Cricetulus griseus: one gene and its partner. The protein of the gene in region 1 interacts with the protein of each later gene in a pairwise test. Links are inferred from orthologs where the notes say so. Each region holds a gene or a part of one and is shown on either strand. Other genes may lie near its edges.

Region 1 (3,299 bases):
GCCTGGCTCACGCCTATTTGTGTGGGACTGTGCCTCCAACTTCTGCTAAGATACTGCTAAGATTTCCATCACGGCCGTGACAAAATGATGATTCACACTTAAAACGCAGTCGTTGGTGTCATATTTGATATTAATACTTTAGTAGCGCTGCTTTGCCAGAGCAATTAAAAGGAGAAAGTTCCTGAAAGCAAGAGCAGTCCACCCCTATCCACAGGCACCACCGAGGGCAGAGTTGCAGAAGGCAGCTCATTGTATTGGAAGGCGCAGGGCCTCCCGCAAGCGGTTCAGATAAGCAGCTGTCGGAGGCAAGGGGGGGAGGGGAGAAACTGGAAGCAGAAGTCACTGTTATCGGATTGGATTGCAAGCCTTGCGCTCCTGCGCCGGGATGCCTTATCTCAAGTATGCCCCCGTCTTGCAAGTTAAAAATCTTCCTGGAAGGATAAAACAGTACTCGGGCCCCAAGTCCTCCCCCTTACTTCTCGCCACCATCCCCTCCCCCACTGCCAGCCCCAGCAGGCTGTAATTTCTTGCCCAACAGAAAGGTGGTTACAGGTGCCATAAGCTCCATCAACCACCAGAAACACCCTTTACCACCTCCCCCGAGATAGGAATCCCCTGCCCTCAATAAAAGGCGGAAGTTTGTTTCAATGAGTTTATTGTGAAATTCAAAGCTTCCACGATAGCGTCCTTTAGAAAATGAAAGCATTGCCCGGGATCCCTTTTGGGAAAGAGCGGTGCAGCCTGCGAAGTCCGGCTCGCTCCTGCAGCTGGCCACTCCTGTAGCTGTACCAAGTCCAGGCCGCCTGCCTTGCTTTTCCTCTCGTTTCACTGGAAGGCTGCTGAGTCACGCCTGCCTCACTAGTCGGTTCTTCCCGGCCCTGCGGCCAACGTCCCTGCCTAGGCCTTCCTGTGCTAGCAGCCTCTCTGGACAGTGGCAGAGTCCTGGGCTCGGAACAAGGTGTCCCCGCCGCCGCCAGGCCCCCTTCTTGGGAGGCTGCGCTCCTCGCTCTCCAGGCAACACCGCCTGCCAGTCTCCATGCGCACTCGAGCGCCCTCGGAGGGCCACTCCAGAGCCAGCAGCGCGCTAGAGCGTCACCAAGTCGATCAGATCAAGGTCCCTGCCGGGCTGTCACTCGGGAAGTGTAATGCTGGGCACCCAGTCGTTGAAGCTGCGGCTTTCCTCGCAGAACACGCTGAGTTTCTCCAAAGCAGGGTCCTTCCACGTGTCCTCATTAGGATTCTGTATTAAAAAAAAAAAAATTCAGGGGTGAGCCAGGCTGGCCGATGGCCAAAACGGGTGGGGGAAACCGGCGTGGGGAGGCAACAGCAGCACTCACCGAAATGAGTATGCAGTGCAGGTCCCCCGGCGCGCCCGCCTCGTCGTCCGCACCCACGATCGCCGCTAGCCGCTGAACATCACCCACGCGCACGATGTCAATGTCGTTCTCACAGCAGAACGCCTGGATCAGCGTGAAATGGATCTGCAGCGCTATGTCGCCCTCATCTTCTTCATCGGCAGCCAGCACGCAAAAGGTCACATTGTCAGGGTCCCTGCAGAGCAGATGGGAAGAACAAGGTCAGAGCCGATGCCACCCCCAGGTCTCCCAGCCGCGCCAAACCCAATCCCTGCACGCAGGGCCTGTCCATACTCACACATTCAGGACTTTGGCGGACTCGTAGACGCCAGCGGTCAGACAGCCCTGGCGCTGCGCCGACAGCAGAAGTTCGTGCAGCGCTTTCCCGGCGCCCTGCATCCTGTAAGAGAACAAGCACGGTGAGTGGGGACCAGCACGAGGACGCGGCGGAGATCCCAGCCCTGACCTCCAGGTCCCAGCTGGCTCCTTAGCCTAGACCTGCCTGGCGCCAGCATTCCTGCCTCCCAACTCCAACCTGGCGCCCACACACCCGGATCCCCAGTCCCGACTTGGCGCCCACACCTCTGGCACCCTAGTCATGATCTGGCGCCCTCATTCCCCATCACCTAGTCTCGCCCCGGCGCCTGCACCCCCGGTTCCCTACTCCTGATCTGGAGCCCATAGCCCAGGCTCCCCAATCCGGACCCGGTGCCAGAATCCCAGTCTCTAGCTCTAGGAATGAATCGGACGGAGTAATTGTGGCCCCACCGCCTCGGCACCTCGCTGTCAGGCAGGGCACGGCTCCCACCCCACAAACTTCCACCCTAGAAGACCCTGAAAGATCTCTACCCGACAAGTCCAACCCTCGCCACCCCAAAACCTACCTGGCTGTGCTTTCCGGAACTGTATCCTGGCCACGGACTTCTTCCAGAGTCATTGTACGATCCACGGGCAGCAAGTTATCCAAAAGTGAGGAGTGTGGAGGGAACCGAGGGATCCCGAGCGCAGGTAAGGAGCCCCAGAACCCGACCCGCGCGCCCACCACCAGCGAGTGCGCCAGGCACCGCGGCGAGCGCCCTTTTATAGACGGGCCCCGCGCGACGCCGCCAGCTGGCGGGAGGCTGCGCTCCCATTGGCCAGCGCCCGCTTTCTGATGCAAATGAGGCGGCAGGCCCGCGGCTCGTGCCAGAAGGCCACGTGGGGAGGGGTGCGGGGGATGACACAGCCTCAAATCTGCCGCTTTTGTCAGGGTGTTACCAGGCAGACTGGAGCCTGCAGATTTCATCTCGTTTTCTTTTTTGTAAGTCCTTAAAAGGAAAAAGTTAAAAAAAAAAACCAACAACGTTGTTTGCTAATATGATACTGGAATTTGTGAAATGCACGCTTGGAGAATGTAAAAAGCCTTTTTTTGCATTTATTTTTATTGCGACCTTTCTAATTTTTTTTTTAATTTCCAAATTGAGGTTTATGGGGCTGTTGCATTGAAACCGAAACTTAAAAAGTCAAAGGTTTGCAACTGCAGCTGACACCAGGCCAAGGTCGCCTCTAGAACTCAGGACTCAGCGCCTTTCAGGGTCGCGGCTGCAAGGTCTGCGCCGCCCTCCCCCACACCCACACCCCGGCCCCTGTCCCGTCCCGTCCCCCACCCCTGCCCCTGCCCCTGCCCCTGGCAGATCGCTGTGGGGCGCGGGCAGCAGGGACCAGCAGATTGCTGCCGGCACACGCGGCTCGTTTGCATTTCTATACGGGGCACACAAAAGAGGAGGTCTGGCGTGTGGCAGTTCGCAGTGGGGACAATCGACGCTTTCTCTTTCATAGCAACACTGTCCACCTGCCGCCGGGTGGGGTGGGCAGAGCCCCGCCGCGCGCGGGGGTCGCGGGGTTGCCCGGCACGTGGGGGTCTGAGCCGCGTGCCGCTCCCCCGCCCCGGGGTGCGCACCTCTC
Region 2 (3,757 bases), on another chromosome or scaffold:
TTTGTAATTGTATGGATAGTTTACATTTGTATTCATTTAAATTCCGTTTTTAAATGGTAAAAATAAATGAAATGCAAATCTTTTAAAGTATTAATCATTCTTTTGTGGAAGAGTTGATAATTGCTTAGTTACTCACCTGACAGAGCAATCCAAGTAATGAGCAATATTGTTTGTGTTTTCTTCTCTTGATTCCAGACCCAGTGTGAGATGGCATCGATGTTAAAAAAAAATACTGAAGAAAGAAATAAGAAATATTCTGAAGGAAGTAATACTAAGGCATCATATCTGAAGAGTGATGCTGAACTTAAAAAGCTATTTGGTCTCACTAAAGATTTGAGAGTGGGTCTTACTCGCATTCCTGACTATCTGGGTTCTAGAAAAGGTTCTGATTCCGTTAGCAGTTTGATGAAGAGTAGCTCTTACAAAGATGCAGAGTTTGTGGTGAAGGAAGAAGAAATAAAACAGGTAATAGTTTTGTTTTTGTTGTTTTTAAGTGTATGACATTTTTGTAGGTGTGACAAAGTTACATGGTTATCTTTTGGTTTTAATGTGCATTAGATTGAATGATTTTTTTTATGAAACTTGTAAATATCTCATACCAAACAGTGACAAAAATCATGCACACAGATAAAAATATATCCCTAGTTAATTTGAGTTCTAAGTATTTTTAGTCACCTTGGTTTTTTTTCCTTTTGTCATGTAAGAAAATAGTCTAGAGAGTTGGTTCAGTAGTTAACAGCACTTGTTGCTCATTCAGAGGTCCCTGATTTAATTCCAGTATCCACATGGTGGTTCACAACCATCTGTAACTCTAGTGGCAAGGGAATCAGACACCCTGGGCACCAGGTAAATACATGCTACACATGCAGCAGGTCAAAAACTCAGAAATTAATAAAATGAGTAAATATCTTTAAAAAGGAAAATAGCAAAAAAGCATTTCAACTAGTTATCCTATTTTAAAGAATTACCTAAAGAAAATAAGTATAAGGGAAAATGTGAGCATGCTGATGTTCATTGAAGTGTTAACACTTAATAAAATTTTTAAAGTTACTTTTCTATAATTTTTTGCAGATATTTTTATTTGAATTAAAAACAAGATTGTTTTACGTGACAATCCCAGTTCCCTCTCCCTCCCATCCTCCCCTGCCCCCCCAACTAAAACCCTACCTATGACATATTCTTTCTGCTCCCCCTGGTGAAGCCTTCCATAGGGTTTCATCAGCCCACCCCTGTGTGTCTTGGCTCAGGGAGTATTCCTCTATGTGGAATGGGCTCCCAAAGTCCACACCTATGCTAGGGATAAGTACTGAACTACTACTGGAGGTGCCATAGATTTCCAAGGTCTCACTGAAACCCATGTTCCTGGGGTCTGGATCAGTCCCATGCTGGTATCCTGCTATCAGTCTGGTGATCAAGAGCTCCCCGATATTCAGGTCAGCTGTTTCTGTGTGTTTCACCAGCCTGGTCTGGACCCCTTTGCTCTTCACTCATCCTTCTCTGCATCTGGATTCCAGTTCAGTTCAGTGATTAGTTGTGGGTGTCTGCTTCTACTTTGACCAGCTGCTGGATGAGAGCTTTCCGGTGGCATATAAGTCAGTCATGAATCTCATCATCAGGGGAGTGCATTTAAGGTAGCCGCTCCTCTGTTGCTTAGATTGTTAGCTGGTGTCATCTTTGTAGCTCTCCAGACATTTCCCTAGTGCCTGATTTCTCTGTAAACCTAAAATGTCTCCCTCTACTATGGTATCTCTATTCTTGTTATCTTCTATTCTTCCCCTGACTCAACCTTTCTGCTCCCTCATGTCCTCCTCACCCTTCCTCTTCTCCCCTTCTCATTCTCCTAGCTCCCCCCCCTTCCCGTGCTCCCAATTTGCTCAGGAGATCTTGTCCCTTTCCCCTTCTCCAGGGGACCATAACACTTAATAAATTTTAAGCAGCATATACAGACAGTAATGCAATGTACTATAATTATGCTTACAAACATTATAATCTAGTATTCTGAACTTCATCCATTTCAGATAAACCTCAAGGAAAAGTTTCTCTATGTGCCTGCTTTGCAAATGAAATAAAAATTTAAACAATTTATCTCAGGTGCTGTTTCAATGATAGGTCAGTTTGGCTTCTAATACCTGGTTTAAACAAGAAAATGAAAATACACTAGCTTGTTTTCTAGAACTATGATTGTGACTTTTTGTTTTAGTACCATGTAGTAGGATCCAGCTTTTACTATAGTTATCCCCAGTAAAATTTGTGAAATCAAATTTAATTGCTATTATTTGCCTAACTTTGATTTGAAAGCATGTGGCATAGCAATAACATTATTTTTTGTCTTATAATTGCAACAGAGTTTTTCTAAGAAAAGAAGAGCAAAAAATATTAAGAAGATGGAATACACAAAAAGGAGAAAAATTAAGAGGGCTAGTGACACAGTCATGAATGGAACAGATGTTGCCAGTTCCCAACTCCTTAGTATTTTACCCACATCAGAAGTACCGCAACATAACATTGTCACAAGCCATAGCACAACCAGGGAAGACAAGAGAACTGAGGTAGAACATTGCTCCCATGAGAAGCAGGACAAAGGCACATTAAGTTCAAGTGTATCTTTTGAACAGAGTAATTGTTTTAATAAAAGCTACACTGAAGACATTTTTCTAGTGACACCACCAGAATTAGAAGAAACCATCAGAGATGAAAAAATAAGAAGACTTAAGCAGATTGTAAAAGAGAAAGAAGCAGCTCTTGAAGAAATGCGTAAGAAGATGCACCAAAAACAGTAAAATGTCTAGGATTTAAAGACTTGTACTACTACAGTAGTTCTCTCTCACCTGCTGGGGATACAGTCAAGACCCCCCCCCCGCCCCAGTGAATACCTGAACTGGAGATGATACCAAATTCTGTATTCTGTATACAAATGATGTAAAATCTTGATGTTTATTCTGATAACTCAACATCTGCTTTAGATAATAACAAGAAAGTAGGATATGCACTTCAGATACACTCAATGAAGAGGATAATTGATATCCTGAATAGGACACTGAAATTTTTTGTCATGCTACTCAGAATGGCATATAATTTAAGAGTTATGAATTCCTCCTTTCTGGAGTTTCTCATTGATATTTTGGACAGCAGATTATCATGGGCGTCAGAAAACAGAAGAGGCAACTGCAGGTTACAGAGGATTACTGTTATTTATAAAGGCACTCTGAAAGTGTCTTTGTATATAAAACTTGAGTACAGAAAAGGTTGAGTCATTTGACTCATTGAAAATCTATATGACATATTTTGACTCACTTGTTTTGGAAGAAAATTTTTGGTATTTTTCTGTGAAATGAAATTCCCCAAGTTTGAATATTTTGTACAAAATTTCTGTTAATGTTATATCTTCTACTAAATTCCTCAGGTCTTACACTAACAAATATTGTGTACTAAAAGTCTACAATCCAAGATAGTCAGCTGTAAGCTTAACTTTACCATTGAGTTTCTATGTGTACTGTCTTGATCTTCTTACCTATAAAAATGATACAACCTATTCACTGTTGTTGCTATTTTTTCCATCAAGAAAATCTATTAAAATTTATTTACTCAAATATTTTTCGACATGAAGGGCAGATGCTTTTTGCATGTCTGCAATATTATATATTCCAAAAAGTTTGAAGTTTAGGCTATTTAATGATATTTTATCTTTGGCTTGCAAATTATGCCTTATGAAGCTAGAGAGGTAATTCAGCAGTTAAGAGCACTTGCTGTTTTCTAG

Evidence for each region. The genes of interacting proteins can lie anywhere in the genome.
Region 2: the proteins of Gadd45g (region 1) and Lrif1 interact in binary tests that used the Homo sapiens proteins (3 or more experiments, as listed by UniProt). The link is inferred for Cricetulus griseus from reciprocal best matches to the Homo sapiens genes GADD45G and LRIF1.

What each region holds. Positions count from the first base shown.
Region 1 is NC_048596.1:270,787,865-270,791,163, reverse strand, and holds Gadd45g (growth arrest and DNA damage-inducible protein GADD45 gamma), read right to left. Parts: upstream 2,406-3,299; 5' UTR 2,293-2,405; coding exon 2,240-2,292; intron 1,756-2,239; coding exon 1,654-1,755; intron 1,552-1,653; coding exon 1,338-1,551; intron 1,241-1,337; coding exon 1,130-1,240; 3' UTR 620-1,129; downstream 1-619. UniProt on the Homo sapiens protein: Involved in the regulation of growth and apoptosis. Mediates activation of stress-responsive MTK1/MEKK4 MAPKKK.
Region 2 is NW_023276806.1:50,369,834-50,373,590, reverse strand, and holds the end of Lrif1 (ligand-dependent nuclear receptor-interacting factor 1), read left to right. Parts: intron 1-195; coding exon 196-465; intron 466-2,345; coding exon 2,346-2,780; 3' UTR 2,781-3,532; downstream 3,533-3,757. UniProt on the Homo sapiens protein: Together with SMCHD1, involved in chromosome X inactivation in females by promoting the compaction of heterochromatin.